Macaca fascicularis: one gene and its partners. The protein of the gene in region 4 interacts with the protein of the main gene of each other region in a biochemical or structural test. Links are inferred from orthologs where the notes say so. Each region holds a gene or a part of one and is shown on either strand. Other genes may lie near its edges. The genes, in order: GTF2B, PRKCZ, DPF2, RELA, TBP, RXRA and TLE5.

Region 1 (3,500 bases), on a different chromosome or scaffold from region 4:
TTGTCTTAATATATTAAAATACTTTCCTTAGAGGAATTTATGGAGTAATCACAAATATGAAGTAATACTTACCCCTGCGTTTTCCCAACGAGAAGATTCAAGACATGTTCTGGTTAAGCTGAGTAGATAAATTTGGAGGGGAATAGGGATTATTTTATCAGTTTTCCTGTAGATATCATCATCTAAGTTGAGAGTTAACCTTCTGAATGGTATTTGCTAACATGAGAAACTTTACCCCAAACCACAAATAACTATTTACATACTATAAGAACAGTTGATTTTTGTCTTTTACGTGCATCTGATGTCCATAACCTAACCATTTATTGTATTATTTCAAACGATTTTTAAAAGGGCCTTATTTGCAGTGCTACCAAGCATTTATGATTGGGAGGTCATACCCCCTGAAATAATGATCAAATATTTGTTGCTTTTACAGCTGATTCTGTCAGATCATTTATGATTAATGTGTAAAAAAAAGATGAACGTGTCTTCTGCAAACTGCTTTGTTGTTCAAAATAAGATAAATTGAGCTAATTATTAATATCACAGATAAATTTACAAGTAGCTTTTGAAACAATTCCTTGAATGATAAAAAATTCAGTAACTCAATTCTGGACTAAAGGAAATCATCAAGTCTTAAGTTCAGCAGAGCAACTTCTACCATCCCTCATTTCTATACTTACTGGGTTCAGTGTACTATTTAAATCTGTTACTAAAGTAGTTAACAAGTAGAAAAATACAGAGAGAAATTGTTCTCTGACTAGACAAATAAGTGGCAAAGAGCACAAACTGGATGGTAATGTAAATGCTGCAGGTTATTATGGTAGCTAGTCATTACAACACTAATCAGCATTTAAAAAAATCTTAGTAGACTACATATTAAGAGAAGAAACTAATTATTTTCTATTTATGTTTTGAAAGCCTTCCACAGTAAAATAAGAATTCCAGTGGAAACTACTTGCCAGTTACTAGCTAGAATTTAAAGTAACCTAACTGGGATGTTTACTTTGAAAATCTAGCTCACACGTGTTATAATCGTATGTATTGAAGAATGTTTACAATCTTTGTCTTCCCCATCCCGCGTCTCAGGAGATTACTGTGATACATGTTGATTGGGAAGATGTAAAAATACAACTTTTTTCTTTTAGTTTGGATGCTCTTCCAAGAGTCACATGTCCAAACCATCCAGATGCGATTTTAGTGGAGGACTACAGAGCCGGTGATATGATCTGTCCTGAATGTGGCTTGGTTGTAGGTGAGTTGTTATTATGGTTTTAATTTAAATTACTGTTTAGGAGGCCAAGCACCGCGGCTCATGCCTGTAATTCCAGCACTTTGGGAGGCCGAGGCGGGAGGATCACCTGAGGTCAGGAGTTTGAGACCAGCCTGACCAACATGGAGAAACCACATCTCTACTGAAAATACAAAAACTAGCTGGGCATGATGGTGGGTGCCTGTAATCCCAACTACTCGGGAGGCTGAGGCAAGAGAATGGCTTGAACCCGGGAGGCAGAGGTTGCAGTGAGCCGAGATTGCATTGCACGCCAGCTGGGGCAACAGAGCGAGACTCCTTCTCAAAAAAAAAAAAAAACAAAAAAACTTGTTTAGAGTTCTTCACTTTTGCATAGTTTCCAAACTGTCATTTAATGAACACATTTTGACTTTCTTCCCCAACAAATAATTTATTGCCAAAAAAAAAAAAGAATTAGGAAACAGAAATGAGTAAAGTTGTTTAGAAACATATTTTATTGTATATCCAAATTTATGTTTTTATAATGTCGGGTGGGAGCTAATCCAGAAGAAATGAAAAGGCCACAGTAATTTCCTAAGTCCTTCGTCTGAAATACTTGGTGGAGGACTGGGGAGATGGGCTGACACTCATGCATATTAAATAATCAAACTTTTGTGACTTTTTTATATGTTGAGAAGTAGATAAACATGATTTTTGAGTCTCACCGAAAGCCTTTTAGTCCAAAAAAAAAAAGATTTATTATAACTTTTATATGGAATCATTTATTGATGAATGTCTAGTATAAAATTACTGTCAAAAATACCACTTAAAATTTCACCTTGTTCCTACCTGCGCACTAATTTAGATATGCAGCAGAACTTTAGACTGCAGATAGTCTGTTCAAAAACTATTCTTGTGGTGGCGTTGCAGCATCTGAGAATCGGGGTAATAGTTAGCAGTTTGAATTACTTAAGAATGAAAACTCTAGAAGGATTGTGGGCAGTATAACAGAAGCATTAGTAGTGGCATACTGTGGAATTGTCTTACTTGGTCCAAGAAGGCTGTTTGCCTCAGACCTACAGTGGGAGTTTTAAAGTATAGAGTTGCTAATAGGGATTGAGAATCATTTGCTACTGTATGCCGCTGAGTAAGGAATAGCCAATACATTTACTATATACTAGGTACTATTCTAAATGATTTGCATACTCACTCAGTTTATCCTCACAACAAACTTGTGAGGTGAGTACTAACATTATCTTCACTTTACAGATGAGGAAACTGATGTTTAGGTAGTCTAAAAGATTGACTCCATTGTCTGCATGGGAGGCAGATTTCTATCTTGTATTGCCTTTCATAATAATAAAATTTTAATCTGGGGTCATCAAAGTACAACCCATCACCTGTCTTTATATGGCCTATTTGCTAATATGGCTTTTACATTTTTAAATGGTTGAAAAAAATCATTATTTTGGGACATGTGAAAATACAAATTTCAGTATCTATAAAGTTTTTCTTCGTTTGTTTTTTGAGATGGAGTTTTGTTCTTGTTGCCGAGGCTGGAGTGCAATGGTGCAATCTTGGTTCACCACAACCTCTGCCTCCCGGGTTCAAGTGATTCTCCTGCCTCAGCCTCCCAAGTAGCTGGGATTACAGGCATGTGCCACCGTGCCCAGCAAATTTTGTATTTCTTTTTTTTTTAGTAGAGACGGGGTAGGCCGGGCGCGGTGGCTCAAGCCTGTAATCCCAGCACTTTGGGAGGCTGAGACGGGCGGATCACGAGGTCAGGAGATGGAGACCATCCTGGTTAACATGGTGAAACCCCGTCTCTACTAAAAAATACAAAAAATTAGCCGGGCGCGGTGGTGGGCGCCTGTAGTCCCAACTACTCGGGAGGCTGAGGCAGGAGAATGGCGTGAACCCGGGAGGCGGAGCTTGCAGTGAGCTGAGATCCGGGCACTGCACTCCAGCCCGGGCGACAGAGCGAGACTCTGTCTCAAAAAAAAAAAAAAAAAAAAAAAAAAAAAGTATCCCATTATATTTTCAGCCTTCCCACCAGCCTCACTTCCGCTTTAACCAGAAAGACAGTTGAGATTAATCAGCCAGAAAAGGAAGATACAATTCACAGGACTTGTAGGCTGCTTTCTTGTGCTTGGAATTCCTAATTTTTGCTTGTACTTTTCTGCTGTATCAAACCAAAGGAAGTTAATTTTGTTTTTGCTTTTATTGATTTATTCATATCAAACACCATGTTAAATCTTGAGGTCTGAAA
Region 2 (3,500 bases), on a different chromosome or scaffold from region 4:
AGGTAATCCACCCGTCTTGGCCTCCCAAAGTGCTGGGATTATAGGTGTGAGCCACCATGCCTGGCCCTAACTGTACATTTTAAAATGTCAAATTCTATGCCATGTGTATTTTACTATAATTAAAACAAAAAGGTGTATGAAGTCAGAATCAAGATTTCAACAAATAGGCCAAGAGCAGTGACTCATGCCTGTAATCCCAGCACTCCAGCAGGCTGAGTGGGGCAGAGTGCATGAGTGCAGGAATTCGAAACCAGCCTGGGCAACATAGTTGAACCCCGTCTCTACAAAAAACACAAAAAATAGCCGGGCATGGTGGTGCACGCCTGTAGCCCTGGCTCCTCTGGAGGCTGAAGTGGGAAGATCACCTCAGCCCAGCAAGAGGTGGAGGCTGCAGGAGGAGGTGGAGGCTGCAGGAGGTGAGCTGTGATCATGCTCTGCACTCCAGCCTGGGTGACAGAGTGAGACACTGCCTCTACAGAAAATACAAAATTATACAGCTGGGGGTGGTGGCTCATGCCTGTAGTCCCAACACTCTGGAGGCTGAAGTGGGAGGATCACCTGAGCTGGGGAGTTTGAGGCTACATGGGCTGTGATCAAGTCACTCCAGCCTGGGTGACAGAGTAAGACCCTGTTTAAGAACCTATTTCCAAAAAAAAAAAGATTTCAACAAATAAACCATTGATCCTATAATCAATAAACTTCTCCCCCAGAAACAGCTGGTGTGGGAAGATCTGCTACACAGAGCCGCGGCAGTTCAGCACGTCCCTCAAAGCTGGGGCCTTGTGCAGGACGGAGTGAGGCAGTGCCTCTGGGCAGCTTCCTGTCCTACCCCATCACCCGCCCGGTTCAGCTCAACCCCAGGGATTTCCTAACAAGGGTGACGACGTCCTCAAGCTCAACCGCAGTCTGCTGGAAGGCGACGTATCAGTGGTTGGCCACACACGCGAAGGTCGCGGAGACGATACCCATCTTCACCTTTTCAAAGCTTAGACACGAGTGCTCTCTGCGGTGGTCCGCTCACTGCCTGCGGTGTGCAGTGCACGGACAGCCGTGCGGGCCGGCAGCCTGAGAGCAGGAGCTGCACTGTGCATCCTGGCCGCGGAGTTGGCTGCGCCGTTTGGGTTTGTGGAGCACGCGTTGTGACATTCACACAACGGTGCCATCACCTGACCAGGCACTTTCCAGAACACGTCCCGGTTGTTACGCGACGCATCACTATTGATTTTGCGCAAACTCCATCAATACGAGGCCAGGACTCTCATGCCTGGATTAATTTTGCTAAAGCCTGGAGCATTCATTATGGCCTTCTAATGCCCTCTTCCCCAGGTGGCGGCCCCAGGGCGGTGCGTTCCCGGGACCCCGAGCGCCGTGAGAAGTGGCACCTACCTCGTCGTCATGCACCAGCTCTTTCTTCACCACTTTCATGGCGTAAATTTGGTCATTCTTCTTCAACCGCACCAGGAGAACCTTGGCGTAGCTCCCGCGCCCTATGACTCTGATTAGGTCGAAGTCCTGCAGCCCGAGCCCCTGAGAGATTTTGATTCCATCCATCCCATCGATAACTGGCTTAAGGTCCTAGGAAGGGAGAACAAGACCCCAGAAAGTGAGGGGAGAGGGGTCCCGGGAGATTCAGAGGACCACGCATCACTCATGCGGTCCCAACAGAGATCTGCTCCTCAGAGCCTAGAGCCTCACGATCCCAGTCTCAGCTCTGCGTCCCACAGATCCCACCCCCACACTCCCATCTAAACCGGGGCACAAAAGGTGAGAACTTCAGGCTGTGCTTCTGAGGAAGGTGCTAGAAAGTCGGAAGCTGCTCGTTTCCACAGACCATGGCTCTGGTCACAGCTGCCAGTGGGAGGGACCCCCAGGCCTTCAGCCCTACCAGTCGGGCTGAAGAGGTGGCCACTGGGACATGCGGCCCAGGGCCTGGGCCCATCCTTCCCCATCAGGGCCCTCCCTCGGGGAAGGAAGGTAAAGCAAACGTAGCTAATGCCTGCCAAGAGCTCCCAAACCGGCAAGCACACATTATTAGAAATAATTATTAGAAATATACAGAAGAAAGGCGCTCCGAGGAAAAAGAGAAGCCTCGGCCTCCTGCAAGCTACACCAGGCAAGGATGTCGGGGTGGAGGAGGTAGTTCGCTAGGAGGTGCTGTTCTGTGCAGCAGAATGGATTCTGCTTTTTTTGAGACAGGGTCTTCCTCTGCCACCCAGGCTGGAGTGCAGTGGCGCAATCTCGGCTCACTGCAGCCTCCACCTCCCAAGCTCAGGCGATCCTCCCACCTCAGCCTCCCAAGCAGCTGGGACCACAGGCCCATGCCACCATGCCCAGCTAATTATTTTGTATTTATTTTTGCAGGAATAGGGTTTCACTACGCTGCCCAGGCTGTTCTCAAGCTTCTGGACTCAAGTGATCTGCCCGGCCCAGCCTCCCAAAATGCTGGGATTGGAGGTGTGAGCCACCGTGCCCGGCTTTGGATTCTGCTTTCTAAGTGACCCAGCCTCCCTCCAGACACAGGACGGCCAGGAAGGAGCACGAGTTGTGAGGGTGGTATGTGCCGCTGCTCTGGAAAGGTGTGGGCTTTGCCAGCGCAGCCCTTTCTTGGGTTTTACGAGCAGAGGCTGAGAACACAGCAAGCTCTTCTGTTCCCTTCTCAGGGTTTGTGGTGCAGAGCTGGCCACAGACGCGAGGCTCAGTTGAGCCTCTTCGCTTGAGTTGGGGAAGGACGTGAAAAGGCATTAGAGGGGTTTGCCAGGACGGCCAAACGAGGCAACGAAAGGAAGGCCGTGGTGCAGACACAACTTGATAAAAATTACAGCTCAAAAGCCAGCCCCTGGGCCACTGTACTGCCTGGGTGGAGAGGATGTGGGGCGCGGCTTCCCCCCAGGGTGTGGTCCCCAGACCACCCGCTGGGACAGCTGCCTCCAGGGAATCACCAAGGATGTGCCTGAAATAAGACCCAAGAACAAGGGCTTCTTTCTAGACACCCACACCCGTAAAGATTAGCAACATCCCGGACCGTATATTTCACATCCAGATTTATGTGACTGCCCCAGAGGCAGGCTCACAGACTTCCAAGAGGACGCTGGAAAGGTAGCGAGCTGCTCCGCAGACTCACCTCAGAGTCGTCTTTAATGCTGTCATGTTTCCGGGATGAGGAAATGTAAGCAACTGGCGAGAGAGGGAGGAAGAGGCGTTACGGTGTCGTCAGGAACGCGCTGGGAACACAGCGACCCCGTGGGCCCTGCTCCTCCACCAGGCGACGGTGAAGGGCAACTCTACACAGCAGCCATGTCTGATTCTATTTTAGAGTCTTTTGAAAATGCAGCTTCCTGGGCCCCACTCAGACCTGCCGACTCTGACCATGGGACCTGGGGATGTACATTTGTGACACACGCCCCCAGGGGTCCATCTGCAAATAATTAGTCATCAGATTTTGGTGTCTAGTGAATGGGTGGGTGGGGCAGGAGGGGATGTCTAGTGAAGGGATGGAGGAT
Region 3 (3,500 bases), about 320 kb from region 4:
TTCCTCCTGCCTTTCTCATTTCCTGGGATGCTAGCTTTAAAATCTCTGGAATGGCATGGGGGTAGGAGCAGTGGAACTTCTGCTGTGCTCTACTCCTCAAAGTCCTGGAGGCTGCCTTTACCACTGCTTGTCTCCCACAAACCTACTCCTAGAGCTGCTCAGCCCAGTGCATGGGGTGGCTTCAGAAGCATTATCAGGAGCCCATTACAATCAGACCCTTCCGCTCCCTCCCCAGATCAGGCACCTGGTGGTCAGCTCATGTTCCCCACTGCCCCACCACCTCCTGCCATCCTCTCTCCCCATTCCTTTCCTGCTGGCCCCCTTGCCCTTCTTGGTATTACCTGTCAAGATGACAGAATGCCTCGTGGGGATCTGCTTTCCTTGCTGATTGGCAGGCCTGGACAGGGCAATTATGTGGGAGTGTGTTTGAATTTCTCTGGGGACAACTGCCCAACTGGCTTCATTGATAGGATATCCCCAAGAAACCCACCCCTGCTTGTTTACGCACATTCAGAGGAGATGGGCTCCATGGTCTGTGTGGGGTAGCTGAGCCTCCCACGTTTACTGATGGGTAAAAACGTTTGGAGTTGTATCCGCTTTTCCCCCTTCCTGCCACACCAAAGACTTATAGGAATATCCTTCCCTTTCCTGACCTGGAGCGTCCCAGACTGTTACTATATCCCAGAGCAACTAACTAGTGATGGGGCGAGGGCTAAGCCCCCAAAAGTCAACATGGAAGAGCAGTGGTGGCCATGGGGTTGGAGTTTAGGAGGTAAAAGAGTCCCAGAAGCTAGAGAGCCCCAGGGCTTGATGCTCGTGGCTGAGGGAAAGGGGCCATCACTTAAGGCCTGTCCCAGAGTAGAGCTGCTAGGGGAAGGGATGGTTGCCCTCTGCCTCAGGTGGAGCCCCCACAGTTTGCAGGGGTGGGGACATGTTACTCTTGTATCCTAACACCTTTCTCTGCAATCTTCTCCCCACTCAGTTTGTGGAAAACGTTACAAGAACCGACCAGGCCTCAGTTACCACTATGCCCACTCCCACTTGGCTGAGGAGGAGGGCGAGGACAAGGAAGACTCCCAGCCACCCACTCCTGTTTCCCAGAGGTCTGAGGAGCAGAAATGTAAGCTGAGGTGTCAGAAGTGGTGGGCAAGCAGAAGTTGGCCTGGTTATGAAAACCACTCCTTGCATGGGTGTTGAGTGGCTCAGGGACCCCATGGGCGTCATCAAAAGTCTTTCTCTCTGCAGCCAAAAAGGGTCCTGATGGATTGGCCTTGCCCAACAACTACTGTGACTTCTGCCTGGGGGACTCAAAGATTAACAAGAAGACGGGACAACCCGAGGAGCTGGTGTCCTGTTCTGACTGTGGCCGCTCAGGTACTGCCTCCCGTGAAGGCTGCTGCTGTGCCCAGTCCCCAAGGGGCTCTTGGCTTGCTGGCCTCTAGTGCTGTCATAACCAGCCCACCTCACTTTACCTAACCAAGAGAAGATGTAGCCACAAGCAGGAGCTCCTCTCTTCCCCCTGCATTTCCAACTGTCTGTCTCTCTCACTTCCCCCACTATAGGGCATCCATCTTGCCTCCAGTTTACCCCCGTGATGATGGCGGCAGTGAAGACGTACCGCTGGCAGTGCATCGAGTGCAAATGTTGCAACATCTGCGGCACCTCTGAGAATGACGTGTGTATCCCCGCCCCCTCCTCAGCATGGCTCCTTCTGGGCTTTTACTGCTGTTTGCACAGTTCCCTCTAAAGTGAGCTTTCTTTTTTTAAAAAGGGAGCAAGATCCCTCCTACATGCCACATGCCCCTCCCTAGCATCTCAGTCAGAACTCTGATTTGTTGCCAGATAATATATATATTGAGTGCTGATTTTATGTCAGACACTGTTCTAGGCACTAAAGATACTAAAGACAAACAAGGTCCCTGCCGCATGAGATTTACATTCTTACAGGAACAACAATAAGCAAGGATGTGAGATTTGTATAATGTGCCATGAAAAAAATGAAACCAGTAATGTGGCAGAGAATAATTGCATAAGTGATTTATTTTGATGGTGAGGTTTGGCTCTTCTGGGAGGGGGATGCTGGTGTTGAAATTTTGTGATACCAAGGAGCCAGTCAAGCAGATTTGGAGGTAGAGCAGTCCCAGGAAAGGAGCAGCCAGTGCCAAGGCCTTATAGTGGACAAGCCAAATGATAGGGCATGGGAGAGGATGGCGGGGGATGAGATGAGAGAGGCAAGCACTGCCAGATCTGTGGGGCCTTGGATTTTATTCTAGGTACAATAGGACACTGTCAAAGGGTTTTAATCAGGGAAGTGACATGGTTATTTATGTATGTATTTATTTATTTTATTTATTTTTTTGAGACGGAGTCTTGCTGTGTCGCCCAGGCTGGAGTACAGTGGCACGATCTCGGCTCACTGCAACCTCTGCCTTCCAGGTTCAAGCGATTCTCCTGCCTCAGCCTCCCAAGTAGCTGGGATTACAGACACGTGCCACCACATCTGACTAATTTTGTATTTTTAGTAGAGATGGGGTTTCTCCATGTTGGCCAGGCTGGTATCGAACTCCTGACGTCCGGTGATCCGCCTGCCTCAGCCTCCCAAAGTGCTGGGATTATAGGTGTCAACCACCGCGCCCGGCTGTTTATTTATTCTTTATGTATTTATTTTTTTATTTTGAGACAGAGTCTCTCTGTCACCCAGGCTGGAGTGCAGCGATGCAATCTTAGCTGACTACCACCTCTCCCTTTAGGCTCAAGCAATCCAATCCTTCCACCTCAGCCTCCCAGGTAGCTGGGACCACAGATGCACACCACCATGCCTGGCTTCTTTTTTTTATATTTTTGATAGAGACAGGGTCTTGCCATATTGCTGAGCTGGTCTCAAACTCCTGAGCTCAAGCAATCCTCCCACCTTGGCCTCTCAAAGTGCTGGGATTACAGGCGTGAACCCACCATGTTTGGCATTGTCTTATATTTTATTTTATATTTATTTATTTATTTCAAGATGGAGTTTTACTGTTGTCACCCAGGCTGGAATGCAGTGACACAATCTTGGCTCACTGCAACCTCTGCCTCCAGGTTCAAGCAATTCTCCTGTCTCAGCCTCTCAAGTAGCTGGGATTACAGGCGCTCGCCACCACGCCTGGCTAATTTTTAGTAGAGACCGGGTTTCACCATGTTGGCCAAGCTCGTCTCGAACTCCTGACCTCAGGTGATCTACCTGCCTCAGCCTCCCAAGATGGTGGTATTACAGGCGTGAGCCACCGCGCTTGGCCCTTGTCTTATATTTTTAAAAGAAGACTTTGGCTGCTGTGTGGAGGGTAGACTGTAGGGACAAGGATGGAGGCTTATGCATATAATCCTAACACTTGAGAGGCTGAAGCGGGAGGATCACTTGAGCCCAGGAATTCAGAACCAGCCTGAGCAACATAGGGAGACCCTGTCTCCACAAAAAAAATTAAAACTTAGTGAGGTGTGGTGGCACACATGTTAACCCCAGC
Region 4 (3,500 bases):
CTCTAGGACTTGTGTTTTACACACTCGCCAGCGGCCCTCCCAGAGCAGAGCTCCCTGCCCCAACTGGTCACACCTATATCCCCACTTCCCCTGCTCTCCTGATCACCTGTTTTCTTGCCAGTTCCTATAGAAGAACAGCGTGGGGACTACGACCTGAATGCTGTGCGGCTCTGCTTCCAGGTGACAGTGCGGGATCCATCAGGCAGGCCCCTCCGCCTGCCGCCTGTCCTTTCTCATCCCATCTTTGACAACCGTGAGTAGCGAGGGAGACACAGGAAGGGGAGAGGGTGGGCCTGGATAGGAGGAAGGGGTTGGGGTGAGTGTGGCCTGCAAGAGGTGCTCTGATTCATCAGTCATCTTGTGTATTCATCTTCTCTTCTGTGCCCAGCTCTTTGTTGGCTGGGGAGAGAAGGCAAAGAAGACCCAGAGCTGTCCTTGAGGTGTAGCTCCGGCCTGGCAGGGAGTCTAGCAGGGAGTCTGATGGGAAATGGGCATTTTCAGTATCGTGTGATGAGAAGGTGGTGTGCCCACAACTGCGATAATGACTCTAGGAAACGAACTCCCAGGAATAAGATAGTGTTCGAGAATGATGCTTCAGTGACAGAAGCCCGCAGACGAATTGGGCTGACTGATCAGCTGCAGTCTTTAATTAAGTAACCAGCAGGATGAATGGAAATAAAACGACTCTGGAACCCCAAAGATGGGAAACCAGGATAAACTGGGAGTCAGGAGGGAAGGGCTCATTGCCAAGGTGGGTATGGACTGACCTTAAAGATTGCTTTGGTCAGGTGGAGACACAGTGTGATCAGATTGGCACTCACTGGACTATAAGCTCCGTGAGAGCAGAGGTTTAGGTTTTGTATGTGGTTGTATTCTCCTTGCTTAGATCAGTAGGCAAATACTTGCTGAATTGGTTGGGGTGAGGAGCTAATAAGAAGGTCTGACTGTGGCTGCAAAGGTGTAGGTGGCAAGCTCTGGGCAACCTTGACTTGGGGCTAGGCAGGGAAGTTGCATCTCCTGCAGGCCACCCCGGGGACCTCTGGTGGCTCAGGTCATCCTTCCTTGTTCTCACTGCCTCAGGTGCCCCCAACACTGCCGAACTCAAGATCTGCCGAGTGAACCGAAACTCTGGCAGCTGCCTCGGTGGGGATGAGATCTTCCTACTGTGTGACAAGGTGCAGAAAGGTATACATCAGGAGGCAGGGGTGGGCTCTTGGGAGCAAGGGGTGAAGCTGAGCAGAGACGGGGCGTGGCAGGCAACTGGCTTTGGATACTTCCTCCTATGCCTCAGGGGCCTCAGGTGGGCCGAAGGGTGATATTAGAAGACAAGCATCCGAAGTTGAGGGGGAGACCGTGGAGGGTTAGACACACTGACCCACACTGCCACCCCATCTCCTGCAGAGGACATTGAGGTGTATTTCACGGGACCAGGCTGGGAGGCCCGAGGCTCCTTTTCACAAGCTGATGTGCACCGACAAGTGGCCATTGTGTTCCGGACCCCTCCCTACGCAGACCCCAGCCTGCAGGCTCCCGTGCGTGTCTCCATGCAGCTGCGGCGGCCTTCCGACCGGGAGCTCAGTGAGCCCATGGAATTCCAGTACCTGCCAGATACAGGTACACAGCTGGGATGGCAGCATCAGGGCAGCTGGGCTCTGCCATGAGAGAGAGGCCAAGACCGCATGTCTGGGGCTGTAGTTGAGGGCCAGAAGCTGGAGTCAGAGCTTGGGATTTATATGGTAATTGGAATCCATTTCTTGCCACATTTAATGATAAGGATACCTCAGACGTTGAGCTAGTACTACACATCTGCCCTATTCCAGGCATTTCACTGGATCACCTGATTCTAATGTCATGACCCTTTTGAAGTAGGAGATAGTGTCTGACTTGCTTGGGTTCACGTGGCTAGTAAGTAGCAGAGTCAGCATTGGAACCCAGGCCATCTGGCTTCAAGGTCCTTTTGCCACACTGGTTGTCTTGTCACTACCATAGAGCTCAGCCACATTTTGGTCAAGGTTTGAATGTCTACTTGGTACCAGGGCCTGTGCCAGGTATTGTGAATACAAAAAATGAGTAAGACAGGCTCCCTGCCCTCAGAATCTCAGTCACTTGAGGAAGACAAATATGCAAAACAGATCCTTAAGTCACAGAATGACACGTGAAACAGAGGTGTGTGCAGAGCAGCACGGGGGCACGGTGGCCTCCGGGGAGCTGGAGACAGCTGCATGGAGAAGGTGGCGTTGAAGCTGGAGAAAGACACGGAAGTGTGTTCTCTAGGCAGGTGGCCAAGCACCTGGAAGGGAAGGGGTGTTGGCAACTGCACGGCCTGTTCGGGGGCATCTTCGTGGTTTGAGCCGATGTTGGGCAGTGAGCAGGCTCAGAGAGAGGAGGGCGTGGTTAAGCTGAAGGCCTCTAAGCAGAGAAGTGACAGGAGCAGATTTGGAAGTTGACTCAGGAGGCCACATGTAGAAGATCAGAGACGAACAGACTCAAAGCGGGGAGGCCATTCTGGAAGATGTTGCTGTAGTCCAGGAAAAGAAGATGCGGCACAAACCTCGTAGAAGGAATAGCGAAGCAAGATCACATCTCCGCCACTGTCCTCAGTTACCCTTCAGCCCTGCAGCCATTTTGCATCTTACAGACCAAGCTCAGTCTCACCTCAGGACCTGTGTCTACCTATTGCCTCTGCTTGGAATGCCTGGCCCAAGGTTTTAATGCAGGTGGCTTATGCCAGTCCTTCCCTCTAAATTTAGACTGCCCCGACCTCACTTCCGGTATTGTTCCATCACCGTATCTTCCCTGAACCACTGTCACTTGAGATTTTCTGGTTTGTATATATGGTTGTGTCCCTCTCACTTTTTCACTAGGATGCCAACTTTTTGGGAGCAGACACCTTGTGTGCTTATGGCCACATCCCCAGTGTCTAGAAGGGAGGCTGGCACATAGTAGGTGCTTGATAAATATGTGTCAAGTTAGTGGTGGGGAGTGAGAGAAAAGAAGGTAATCATTCCAAGGTTTCTAGCTTGGGTGACAGGGCAGATGGCAGATGGATGGTCAGGAAATACAAGAGAAAGAATCCAGTTTTTGAGGGATGATGAGGTTGTCTTTGAATTAATGGAATTGAGGTGCTTTGGAGCTACTGAAGTACCATTGTAATTAGAAAGACAGTTCTGGGCCGGGCGCGGTGGCTCACGCCTGTAATCCCAGCACTTTGGGAGGCCGAGACGGGCGGATCACGAGGTCAGGAGATCGAGACCATCCTGGCTAACACGGTGAAACCCCATCTCTACTAAAAAGAAGTACAAAAAACTAGCCGGGCGAGGTGGCGGGCGCCTGTAGTCCCAGCTACTCGGGAGGCTGAGGCGGGAGAATGGCGTGAACCCGGGAGGCGGAGCTTGCAGTGAGCGGAGATCCGGCCACTGCACTCCAGCCTGGGCGACAGAGCGAGACTCCGTCTCAAAAAAAAAAAAAAAAAAAAAAAAAGAAAGACAGTTCTGAAAGCT
Region 5 (3,500 bases), on a different chromosome or scaffold from region 4:
GTAGTTGAGAAAGCAGCAGCAGCGTTTGAGAGGACTGACTCCAGTTTTGAACTACGTTCTAGCGTGGGTAAAACGCTGTCAAACAGCGTCGTGTGCTACAGAGACATCTCAGTGAAAGGAAGAGTCAGTCCTTGTGGCAAACTTCGTCAGTCTTATTTTAAGAAATGGCCACAGCTACCACCCTGATCAGTCAGCAGCTGTCAGCATCGAGGCAAGATCCTCTATCAGCAAAAAGATTATGACTTGCTGCAGGCTCACAGGATTGTTAGCATTTTTAGCAATAAAGCATTTTAAAATTAAGGTATATACATATTATTAGACATAATGCTATTGCACACTTAATAGACTATAGTGTAAACATAACTTTTGTAGACACTGGGAAACCAAAAAATTCATGCTGCTTGCTTCATTGAGATGGTCTGGAACCTAACCCATAGTATCTCTGAGGTATGCCTGTATCTTCATTTGTAATATGCCCTTCACATCTTTTGTCCTTTTTCATTATTTTATTTGTTGATCTTTTTTTATGGAGTTGTCAGAGCTCTTTATTATTCTGTTTACCAGTCCTTTCTCAGATGTATGTATTATAGGTATTTTTTTCCCAATCTGTGGCCTGCCTTTTAATTTTCTCAATGGTGTCTTTCAGAGAACAGAAGTTTTTAATTTTTCCAAAGTTCAGTTTATCCATTTTTCTTCATGTTTATCCACTGTGTGGTATTAAAGAAGAAAGCAATGTGTATAAGAATAGCTGGTTCTTCCGTAATTAAAGATTAATAACCCCATTATTCTCAGAGGGCGTCTGTCTTTGCACATCTCACCTGCTGTTCCACCAAGAAACTTCCACAAACACTCAGCAGCAGCCAGCCTAACCTGTTTTTCTCCTTGCTTTCCACAGGGTGCCATGACTCCCGGAATCCCTATCTTTAGTCCAATGATGCCTTATGGCACTGGACTGACCCCACAGCCTATTCAGAACACCAATAGTCTGTCTATTTTGGAAGAGCAACAAAGGCAGCAGCAGCAACAACAGCAGCAGCAGCAGCAACAACAGCAACAACAGCAGCAGCAGCAGCAGCAGCAGCAACAGGCAGTGGCCGCTGCAGCCGTTCAGCAGTCAACATCCCAGCAGACAACACAGGGAACCTCAGGCCAGGCACCACAGCTCTTCCACTCACAGACTCTCACAACTGCACCCTTGCCGGGCACCACTCCACTGTATCCCTCCCCCGTGACCCCCATGACCCCCATCACTCCTGCCACTCCGGCTTCGGAGAGTTCTGGGATTGTACCGCAGCTGCAGTGAGTACTTGGTGTTTTATGTTTCCTCCCACTTAGGAGTCCCTTTGAGTTGTGTTCCTGCTCTGTTTTCTGATGGATCCTTTTATTAAGGGAGGGAATGGCACTAACAGCAATTGTGTATCAAAATTTGCTTTATCTCACACTTGGGAAAGGGAAGCAAAGCCATCTTAGTCAGTGCCCTCAGTAAAAGGTTCTTAACAGGTTTAGGAATGTGGTCATTTGTGTTTATATACCTGAGCCAATAAAATTTAATGTGATTTTCACTGTCATTATTATTATATTATAGACATTTCCCTGTATCTGATATCGCCAAATCACAATGTTATGTAGTCTCTTTCCCTTATGCTATTTTAGGTCTTTAGTCACAGTATCAGTATAATTTCTGGCAGTTCTTGTTTTTTATTTTTACTGTGGGGACTGCATATGAATCTTTGAAGGTCTGTGTCCTTCCCACAAAATGAGGATGACTGTTCTTGTCCTAAATGGATTTTTCTACCTAAGTGAAGTGGGTTCTATATGTAACAGGGTATTAGGGATAGGAAATAATTTCATCTTCCTGAAAAAACAACAAATATTTCCAAATAATCCCCGTCAATAAGAAGCGTGCAGCTTTTCATGTTAGAAAGCTTATGACCAAATTAAAAGGTTACTTGCAGTCTCTGCATCTCCTCAGTTTTCTTGTACAGATACCTTCCTCCTTCATACTCCCTTTAGATCTAGTATTTCCTATTTGCATTTATTCACCTTGCTACATATATGGTTGTTGTTTATAAGCTATCTCTGATCATTTTTGGAACTTAGTGGTGTGTAATCGTGGATGCTGACTTTTACCCAAAGACCTAAATCTTGCCTCTACAATTTTGTTTGACCCCACACACAATTTTAAAAACAAAGTAATTTTAGTGATTTTAGAGACAGCCCTTTTTAGCTCACCCTTGTCTGTACCGCTCCCATGTGTCCAGCATGCTTGTCGGACTCCCAGGAAAATTTAAGTTTGCATTTCTGATTTAAATAATAAAGTATAAACAGTACAGTCAGGTGTTTGTTTCTTGCCGTGCCTTTGTTGTTCTGATACTCCCGAGAGCATCCAGTCATCCACGTCCCTGAGCTGCTCTCTACTAAGAACCCTCCTGCGTGGTAATTCAGTGCCCTCTCAGTCTTGTAGGCTTAAGAGGGATTAAGGCAAATATTTCATGAATGAAAACATATAAGAATACATTTAACAATTATGTGATGAAAGTTGTGATAGATGTACTAAAATCTACTTGATATAGTTCATCAGTGGACAAATGCTAAAGCCAGGTGTGTATACAACGGTGATTGGAAGGAAAGAGATGATATGGAAATGAAAACATTGTGTGGATCAACCTAATTGGCTTTACGGTTGTGTATCATAGACTGCCATTCTCTTTTGAACAAAATTATGAGCCATCAAGTTTTCAAAAGTTTTGCATTTTGACAGTATAAGAAAAAGAACCAGAAGCAACAGTGAGCTATAACCTATTGTATTTGAACCTATGTATTTGAAATCTGGACTCTATATTCTTGGGATGGTGATTGCCAGGTCCATGCAAGACACTTGTTGCGCAGTTAATTGCATTCAAAGGACATTGCCCATTTCAAGTATATGTACTTTATTTATTTATTTATTTATTTATTTATTTAAGACGGAGTCTCGCTCTGTCGCCCAGGTTGGAGTGCAGTGGTGTGATCTCAGCTCACTGCAAACTCCACCTCCTGGGTTCACGCCATTCTCCTGCCTCAGCCTCCTGAGCAGCTGGGACTACAGGCTCCCGCCACCATGCTCGGCTAATTTTTTTGTATTTTTAGTAGAGACGGGGTTTCACCGTGTTAGCCAGGATGGTCTCGATCTCCTGACCTCGTGATCCGCCCACCTCAGCCTCCCAAAGTGCTGGGATTACAGGCGTGAGCCACTGTGCCTGGCCAAGTATATATACTTTCATAAGCAGAAAAAATGTATAATGAAAATGTAGGTTTTTGTTTAAATTTTTATTAAAACTTCTAATAGAGTTGCTTTTTAGTATATCTTTATCCTTGTATAAGTTATTTATTAAGTGATGTAAGAACACTGAGAAATGTAAAGGGTCAGTGGACCCAGATGGCTCCGTTTATCCTTATTTACTGAGAGATAATTAGAAGAGAAAGCAGGGTTTTGCCTTTTTTTTTTTTTTTTTTGCTAA
Region 6 (4,252 bases), on a different chromosome or scaffold from region 4:
GGGAGGCCCCGGAATGTGCTCTATTTTGGGTCCCAAGGGCTCTGATGTTACCAGAAGCCCCTCACCCAGGCTGCAAGCTCACCCAGGTCCCTGAGTGCCCTGACTCCAAGAGTGGTCAGTGGGCCTACAGCTTTGCCGGCGGGTCTCTCCACAGGCACATGGGGTCTGGTGCGGTCTGAGACCTTTGGACTCCGTGGACTCCGCCTGAGTCCCACCATTCAGGATAAGGCCAGCCAGGGCCTTCTCCCCGGCAGGCGTAGGAGCACGGCCAGCCCTGGGCAGCAGGGCCAGGAAGCTGGGGCTGCCTCTGGCGAGTCCCTCGGCCTTGCTTTCCTTCCAGATCTGGATGCTGGACTCATCCCTGCCCTCACTGAGTGGCTCGGTGGGCACTGACCGGGATCCTCCCCCGGCCCACCAAGCCCAGCAGCAGTGAATGCAGGGAGGAAGAAGCCCTCTCTACTCCAGACCCCAAAAGTGGCCGGGCAGCTGCAAGGGGTGGCCGAGTCTCCCCCAGCAGCTCCAGGTCTGACTGGTCGGCCAGCCGGGCCAAGACAAGCCAGGCCCTCCGCCCGCCACTCACCCCCAGGAGGGATTAGGCTGTGTTGACAAAAGGGCTTAGACAAGTAACCGCTTAAATGGACCTTCGACTGCTCTGGACTTCAGAGCTGGTCACAAGCTTAGAAAAAAAATAAAATGTAATCAGAGCCCAGGACTCTCTGCTCAGCCCTGGGGCGTGGGCTGCCTGGGAGGCCACGGGCTGGTCGGGAGAGCTGGAGAACAGAAGACTCCCAGCTTCCTTGTGGCAGGGGAGTGCCCAGGGAGATCCCTGGGGCAGTGGCTCAGAGGCACGACCTCTCCTCTTCACAGGGACTCCAGCAAGCCACCATGGGGACTGGGCACCCTTGCTCCCTCACCCTACATACACCAACTCCGTGGACTATCCCTGTCCCACCCAGGGCATTAAAAACAGGGACCTGTTCGGTTCTCAGTACTCAGCTGAAGTGCAACCAGCCAGGCCCCTGCCACGTCCGGGGGCCAGACACTGAGCTGAGCATTCTTGTTCCAGAGGAATCGTCTGGGAGAGCGTAGCTCTGTACGTGTGGATGTGTGTGTGCAGATGTGTGAGTGCAAAGCTTTAACGAGGAAAGGCAGCCCCCCCTGCCCCACAGTGCACTCAGTCACAGACAGCGCAGCGTTCCCTCCTGCCTCACACTCAGCAGTACCACCAGCTGCGGGTGCTAATCCCAAATCCACCACTTTGTATCCTGGGGGCTCAGCCTCTCCCTGCCAGTTTTCTCATCTGCAAAATGGGCATGAGCGCCCACCCCTGGAGGCTGAGCCCTGGAGCTCATTCAAGGTCTCAAGCCCACCACTCCATCATGATAGAGTCAGGGAGTAAGTGTCAGGTCTGACAAACCTGGAACCCACCCCCCACCCCGCCCCAGTCACGGAGCAGCACACCTGCCTGTGAGTAGTAGGGGTACTCAGACTCTCACCTTCATATCCAGGAGGGGCTGGGTCCATGCTGGCTCCCCTTGATGTCCCATTTCACTAAACATCCCTGCAGCTACACTGGCCTCTGAGCACCTCCTGGGGTGGCCAAGCTGCACCCCAGGCTGTAGGGAGGGTGGGCAGGAGGGGCTAAGAATGGCGGGGTTTCATTCATAATCAGCTGTTTCAATTTCCATTCAGCACAAATCCTTCACCCGGCCTGACAGCCTGGCTGCCGTCCCACCACCAAATTAATATCCTTCCCGGAGCTCATTTATAAAGTCTCCCCCTTCTCACTAGCTTCCAAACCCTTGGGAGGGCAATGGGTGGGAGCCCCAGTCGTGCCCTCTCCTCCTCCTCGGCAGGTCTGGGCCTGGAGTTGGCGGGCAGTCTGGGATAGGAAGCCACCGGGCGGGATGGCAGGAGGAGGGAAACTGACCCTCTGCGCTGTCCTGCTCACAAATGGAGAGCCAACCGAGGAGAACACCCGGGACTGCCAGAGTGAGGGGCCCCATTTCTGGGATGGGGTCTTCCTAGGTCTGACGTTCTGTTCATACAGCTCCCGGGGGACCCTGCCCACCCGGGCGTGGGCTGCTTTGGGGATAACAGGGTCCCAGTCTGTTTCCTGGGCGGACACACACCCAAGGGCCAGCGGCCTGCTGGAAGCCGCAGCCCGACGGGCAGGCGGCGCAGAGGCCGCTCGGGGCCCAGCGCGCCGTCCCGGTCCCCAGGCCAGGGAGGCCGGAGCCGCGGAGCGCAGAAGTTGCTCCTCCCGCTCCGGCCGGGTTCCTGCGCGGCCCGGCTGCAGCTGGGCGCCAGGGCGCAGGCTGCCGCCGGTGGCCGGGAGACCCCTCCTCGTCCCGGGCGAACCTGCCACCCGCCCCCTCGGCCCCGCCGCCCGCCCGCTGCCCAGCCCCGCCCGGGCCCCGCGAAAAGTTGCCCCGGGTCGACCCCCTCCGGGCCCGGCGCCCGAACTCTCGCGAAGGTTGGCGAGGGGTCCAAGCGCGGCCCGGGCCGGCGACCCCCGCGCGCGCCGCCAACGCGCCCCCGGCCCCCGCCCGCCGGCCCCTGGCCCCGTCCCCGCCCGGCCCGGCGAGCACTCACCGAGCGGCAGGAAATGTTTGGTGTCCATGTCTGCGACTAACTCATGCCCGGCCGGCGGCGCAGGCAGCGGGCGGCGGGCGCGGCGGCCCCCGGCGCGGCCGGCCCGGGCCCGGGCGGCGGGGAGCCGGCGGCGGCGGTGGCGGCGGCGGCGCGCGGAGGCCGCGGCGCGGCGAGTTGTTGCAAAAGTCGCCCAACAATGTAAACTACTTGTGTCTGCGCGCCGCCGCCGCGCGCGCCCGGCCCGCGCCCCCGCCGCCGCGCGCCCGCGCCCCGCTCCGACCGCGGCGCTGCGGCGCCGGCGGGGGGGTGGCGGGGGGCCCGCGACGGGCGCGGACTCGGCGCAGCGCCGCCGCCACCGCTCGGCCCGCGCCCCGCCCTCCCGGCCCCGCCCGGAGCGCGCCCCCTCGGCCACCGCCGCCGCCGCCGCCCCGCGATCGCCGCCCGCCTGGCCGCCGAGTTGCGAGCGCCCTGCAAACTTGCGAGTTCGCCTCCGCCAGGGGTTCCCGGGAGCCGCGAGGAGGCGGCGTGGGAGGGGGCGGGGCGCGGAGGGAGCGGGGCGGGGGCGGGGGCGGGAGCAGAACTCCCTCCCCGAGCCCGCCACACACTCGCGCGCACACACACACTCGCACGCACAGGGCCCGGAGGAGGCGGAGAGCCGGGCCGGGAGCCCAGCGGCCGGGCCATTGTCTGCGCGGCCACACAAAGCGGCCGGGCGGTGGCCGCGCGGGGACCCTGGCCCGGGCCCGGCAGGCGCAGAGTGGGGCGGGACGGCCGCGGCACCCGTACCTCGCACCCCGCCGCTGCGGACACGTGGGGAAACTGAGGCCCGGGAGTGGCGATGAGCCCCAACGCCAGAGGACGAGCTCCTCGTCCGGGGAAGGTTTCGTCTTCCGGACGCTCCCCCCGGTCCATCCCCCACTTTCACGCCCTGCCCCCACGGAGAGACCCATGAGCCCACCCGGAACGAGGAGGGGCGCGCGCTTCGCCGCCTCATCAACCCGCACTCCTGGACCCCTCTTCAAAGGCACCAGGCTGGGCAGGCGCTGCCCGGAGTTGGACATAGACTTTGTGGCCGGTGGCTATTTTTATACCCCGGGTAGTTCTCTGCCTGACTTTTAAATTCCAGATTTGTTTGAAAACGAAAGGAAGCACTCCTGCCCCGGGACAGCTGGGGCCTCCTCCGCGCCGCGCGCTGCCCGCCGTCTCAGGCGGCTGGAATTCGGGTTTGGGTGTGAGGTACCTGCGCGCCGCCAAGCCCAGCCTTCCTGAGCAGGCGCCGAGGCGCCCGGCCGCGCCCACGCTCCGCGCCCCCACCGCGAGCTTGCTGCCCGCTTAGACCTAAGGGCCCGGGCTGCGAGGCACAGGGGCTGACCAGTCACGCAGGCTACACGTGGTGGCCAGGGTCAGGGGACGCTAATGGGGAGGTAGGTGAGGAGGTGATGACCGCGTATGGACAGGCATGACACCGCCCAGAGATAACAGCCCAAGACCAGAGAGGTGTCCTGCTGCCTGGGTGCCCCTCAAGTCAGGCCACCTGGAGCTGGATTCCACAAGGGGTCTGGTGGCCTGTCCCGGTGGGAGGTCTTGGTTCCACTTGGGACAGGAGTGCCCTGGTTGGGCAGTCCACCCCCAGCACAGCCAGAGGCCAAGGTAGCCC
Region 7 (3,500 bases), on a different chromosome or scaffold from region 4:
GATCATAGAAAGATACAAGATTAGGAGCCCTGGAATGCGTGTTCTCGCGGTGCACACGGAGTGGGGGAGGAGCCAGGCCAGGGCTAGGGACCTAAAGTGCTTCCAGTCTCCATCCGCAGCCCCAGCAGGCCCCTTGCCCCTCTCCCGGGCTGGCTGGGACGCTGGGTGTGGGCGTCTCTCCCTCCTGCTCTTTCCCTCCCACCTGCCTCGTTTCTTTCCTGCCCTCAGCTGTCTCTTGCTCTCTCCCCCCTTTGTCTGTCTCTACCACTCCCTTATCTCTTTGTCTCCATGCCCCCCCATCCTTCCCTGCCCTCATCTCCCGCTCCCTCTCTCTCTCCCCCATACAGTACTATGAGATGTCCTACGGTTTGAACATCGAGATGCACAAACAGGTACGCCCATCTCCTCCTCCTCCTCCTTCTCCTTTCCCCCTCCTCCCCCTCTGCCCCCCGCCTCCAGCACCCCCTTGGGCACCCCCAGGCAGGTAGCAGCCGGCCTTTGGCTGGGCACCCAGCCAGCCCTGTTATCCTGTTACCTCCTAAGCCCTTCCCAAGCTCCCACTCTCCTCCCCACCGCCTCTTTCTCAGGCCTCCCTTGGAGTGTTTTCTGGGGGTGGCGGGAGAGGCGGAGACCTTCCCCACAACCTGTGGCCCCCAGCCCTCCCTACATTCCCACGAGCGCTCACTATCTGCCAGGGGCCTGAGTGGCCCAGCCCTGAGGAATGTAGCCGAGGAATGTGCAGTCTGGCCTCATCCTGCATTTACTGCACTCCAAGCTGCAGGCGACAGCCGGTCTCCAGCCCCACCTTTGCCACTGACTGGCTGCCCTTGGGCCCGAACACGGGTTTGCTCATCCCACCCTGGCCAGACCTAGCCCCTCTTAGAGAGAAGCCGCAAGTGGCAGGGCTGGGCTGGGCCCCGTGCGGGCCTCCTGGGGCTGGCCTGCACCTGCCACCCATCCAGGACTGACGCTGACTTCATCTGTGTGTTCCAGGCGGAGATTGTCAAAAGGCTGAACGGGATTTGTGCCCAGGTCCTGCCCTACCTCTCCCAAGAGGTAAGAGCCAGGGCCTCAGGGAGGGGGTGCCAGGGGGCCCTCCCCTTGCCCAGCCCCTGTCTGCTGCAACCATCTTGGGGGGCGTGCTGGGTGCCCCAGGGCACATGCCTCCCCTCTCTGGACCTCCCCGGCTCTGGGCACCAGAGCTGGCCTATGCAGAAGAATCCCTGGGCCAGAGACACTCCAGGGGTACAGGGGTGTGGGGGCCGGGCCTCACCCTGCTCTGGAATTCCCAGCTAGAGTGAGTCATGTCATAGGTAGAAATGTCGGATGGGCCAAAACTGCACCAGGAATGTTTTTTTCTCATCTCTTCCTCCTTTCACCCTCTTGAGAACATCCTTCAGGCCCTGCGGGTGGCACAGAACCAAAGACTAGAGGGTGTGTTGCGGGGATGGGGTAGCACAGGGCGGTCCCCCATGGACACAGCCACATAGATAGGTATGAGCACATCAACATACGGGAGATACACACACAGACGCAGACACACACGGATACACGGCGTGTGCAGACAGCACAGGGCCACACACGCAGGAATGTGCAGCTACACGTAAGCACATGTGATCCTGAGCACACACTACCACATGCACACACACCCAGAGGAACCTGATGCCCAGCTTCTCTTCTCCTTTCTTGGGTTCTGAGGCTCAGGATGCAAGGCTGCCCCTCCCCAGGGCCATGTAAGGCCCATCTCCTGTCCCTGCCAAGTTTACTGTCAAAAATTTGTAATTTCCTCTTTAATCGCTGTATCTCAGGATCCTTTGGGTGCCCTGCTTTGCCCAGGGACAAGTCTAGAAGGACCCAATGAAAGCCCTAGAGAAAAGGGCAATTGGAACTCTTCAGAACGGAGGCTTCCTGGTGGCCAAAGCAAAAAGGGAGATTGATAGATTCTAGCATCTGCTGGCCACAGAGTCAGGTGTTTGGGGAGAGCTGGGGGAGGAACTGCCCTGAACCTAGGCCCATTCCCCAGCTGGCTCTGCCAGAATTCATTGGGCCCTCTCCAGCCATGGTAGGAGAAGGGCTCAATTTGGCCGGACTCAGGGCACAGTCTTGGAGCTCCTAGGATCAGGACATCCCTGTACAGTTGGGCAGGTTGTGTACTGCACAAATATTCACGTCTTTCACGTCTTTGTACATGGCTGCGGACATAGGATAGGTCAGGATCCGGGGTTTCTCCCAGACTCACTCAAAGGCCGTTTTCTAACTACTTGGCACAAAACCCTTTTAATCGTTTTCTGCACTTTTCCATTTATCTCCATTGGCCAGATGAAGAGACGAGCTTGGTGAAAGGAAGCAGTTGGAGAGAGGGAAGGCGCTTTCTGATGGGGTTGAAAACCACTGGGAGGAGCAGACATGATGGCCCCCTTGGTAGCGGGGCTCCTCCTGGCCCCAGGGTAGCCACCGCCTCCTCTCTCAGTCAGGATCAGGAGGAATCACTGCCTCTCCTCTCTCCTCACCCCCTTCCAGCACCAGCAGCAGGTCTTGGGAGCCATCGAGAGGGCCAAGCAGGTCACCGCTCCTGAGTTGAACTCTATCATCCGAGTACGTATGGGGACCTGGGCGGGTGGGCGGGGGACAGGTGGGCCCTAGGCAGCTAACGTTCCCCTCCCCCGTCCTGCAGCAGCAGCTCCAAGCCCACCAGCTGTCCCAGCTGCAGGCCCTGGCCCTGCCCTTGACCCCACTGCCTGTGGGGCTGCAGCCGCCTTCGCTGCCGGCGGTCAGTGCAGGCACCGGCCTGCTCTCGCTGTCCGCGCTGGGTTCCCAGGCCCACCTCTCCAAGGAAGACAAGAACGGGCACGACGGTGACACCCACCAGGAGGATGACGGCGAGAAGTCGGATTAGCAGGGGGCCGGGACGGGGAGGGTGGGAGGGGGGACAGAGGGGAGACAGAGGCACGGAGAGAAAGAATGTTTAGCACAAGACACAGTGGAGCTCGGGATTGGCTAAACTCCCATAGTATTTATGGCGGCTGCCTGCGGAGGCCCCAGTCCGACTTGCAGGCCACCTCTAGCTTTCTTCCTACCCCAGTCCCGGCCTCCCTCCTCCTCCCCTGCAGCCTGGATAGGTGGATACCTGCCCTGACATGTGAGGCAAGCTGAGGCCTGGAGGGTCAGATGGGAGACCAGGTCCCAAGGGAGCAAGACCTCGAGAAGCCCAGAACCCCTGGCCATTCCCCTGTTTTGAACACGTGTAACTGACAGTCTGCCCGGGCCCCTCGGGGCACACGCCACTGCGCTCTCACCCTGGTACTGCATGCACGCAATGCTAGCTGCCCCTTTCCCATCCTGGGCACCCCGAGTCTCCCCCGACCCGGGGTCCCAGGTCTGCTCCCACCTCCACTTCCTGCCCCACTCACCACCTCTGCTAGTTCCAGACGCCTCCACGCCCACCTGGTCCTCTCCCATTGCCCACAAAAGAGGGGGCACGAGGGACGAGCTTAGCTGTG

Evidence for each region.
Region 1: the proteins of RELA (region 4) and GTF2B form a complex in vitro, tested with the Homo sapiens proteins (2 studies listed by BioGRID and IntAct). The link is inferred for Macaca fascicularis from reciprocal best matches to the Homo sapiens genes RELA and GTF2B.
Region 2: of the proteins of RELA (region 4) and PRKCZ, one has a biochemical effect on the other in vitro, tested with the Homo sapiens proteins (2 studies listed by BioGRID). The link is inferred for Macaca fascicularis from reciprocal best matches to the Homo sapiens genes RELA and PRKCZ.
Region 3: the proteins of RELA (region 4) and DPF2 form a complex in vitro, tested with the Homo sapiens proteins (2 studies listed by BioGRID). The link is inferred for Macaca fascicularis from reciprocal best matches to the Homo sapiens genes RELA and DPF2.
Region 5: the proteins of RELA (region 4) and TBP form a complex in vitro, tested with the Homo sapiens proteins (2 studies listed by BioGRID). The link is inferred for Macaca fascicularis from reciprocal best matches to the Homo sapiens genes RELA and TBP.
Region 6: the proteins of RELA (region 4) and RXRA form a complex in vitro, tested with the Homo sapiens proteins (2 studies listed by BioGRID). The link is inferred for Macaca fascicularis from reciprocal best matches to the Homo sapiens genes RELA and RXRA.
Region 7: the proteins of RELA (region 4) and TLE5 form a complex in vitro, tested with the Homo sapiens proteins (2 studies listed by BioGRID). The link is inferred for Macaca fascicularis from reciprocal best matches to the Homo sapiens genes RELA and TLE5.

Annotation. Positions count from the first base shown.
Region 1 is NC_088375.1:145,807,540-145,811,039, forward strand, and holds part of GTF2B (transcription initiation factor IIB), read left to right. Parts: intron 1-1,148; coding exon 1,149-1,255; intron 1,256-3,500. UniProt on the Homo sapiens protein: General transcription factor that plays a role in transcription initiation by RNA polymerase II (Pol II). Involved in the pre-initiation complex (PIC) formation and Pol II recruitment at promoter DNA.
Region 2 is NC_088375.1:232,633,381-232,636,880, forward strand, and holds part of PRKCZ (protein kinase C zeta type), read right to left. Parts: intron 3,175-3,500; coding exon 3,122-3,174; intron 1,576-3,121; coding exon 1,387-1,575; intron 1-1,386. UniProt on the Homo sapiens protein: Calcium- and diacylglycerol-independent serine/threonine-protein kinase that functions in phosphatidylinositol 3-kinase (PI3K) pathway and mitogen-activated protein (MAP) kinase cascade, and is involved in NF-kappa-B activation, mitogenic signaling, cell proliferation, cell polarity, inflammatory response and maintenance of long-term potentiation (LTP).
Region 3 is NC_088388.1:9,029,184-9,032,683, reverse strand, and holds part of DPF2 (zinc finger protein ubi-d4), read left to right. Parts: intron 1-982; coding exon 983-1,120; intron 1,121-1,245; coding exon 1,246-1,374; intron 1,375-1,562; coding exon 1,563-1,675; intron 1,676-3,500. UniProt on the Homo sapiens protein: Plays an active role in transcriptional regulation by binding modified histones H3 and H4. Is a negative regulator of myeloid differentiation of hematopoietic progenitor cells. Might also have a role in the development and maturation of lymphoid cells.
Region 4 is NC_088388.1:8,709,420-8,712,919, forward strand, and holds part of RELA (transcription factor p65), read left to right. Parts: intron 1-121; coding exon 122-253; intron 254-1,080; coding exon 1,081-1,185; intron 1,186-1,401; coding exon 1,402-1,614; intron 1,615-3,500. UniProt on the Homo sapiens protein: NF-kappa-B is a pleiotropic transcription factor present in almost all cell types and is the endpoint of a series of signal transduction events that are initiated by a vast array of stimuli related to many biological processes such as inflammation, immunity, differentiation, cell growth, tumorigenesis and apoptosis.
Region 5 is NC_088378.1:506,202-509,701, reverse strand, and holds part of TBP (TATA-box-binding protein), read left to right. Parts: intron 1-895; coding exon 896-1,299; intron 1,300-3,500. UniProt on the Homo sapiens protein: The TFIID basal transcription factor complex plays a major role in the initiation of RNA polymerase II (Pol II)-dependent transcription.
Region 6 is NC_088389.1:5,036,650-5,040,901, forward strand, and holds the start of RXRA (retinoic acid receptor RXR-alpha), read right to left. Parts: upstream 2,801-4,252; 5' UTR 2,624-2,800; coding exon 2,596-2,623; intron 1-2,595. UniProt on the Homo sapiens protein: Receptor for retinoic acid that acts as a transcription factor.
Region 7 is NC_088393.1:3,755,860-3,759,359, reverse strand, and holds part of TLE5 (TLE family member 5), read left to right. Parts: intron 1-347; coding exon 348-392; intron 393-993; coding exon 994-1,056; intron 1,057-2,520; coding exon 2,521-2,595; intron 2,596-2,674; coding exon 2,675-2,896; 3' UTR 2,897-3,500. UniProt on the Homo sapiens protein: Transcriptional corepressor. Acts as a dominant repressor towards other family members. Inhibits NF-kappa-B-regulated gene expression. May be required for the initiation and maintenance of the differentiated state.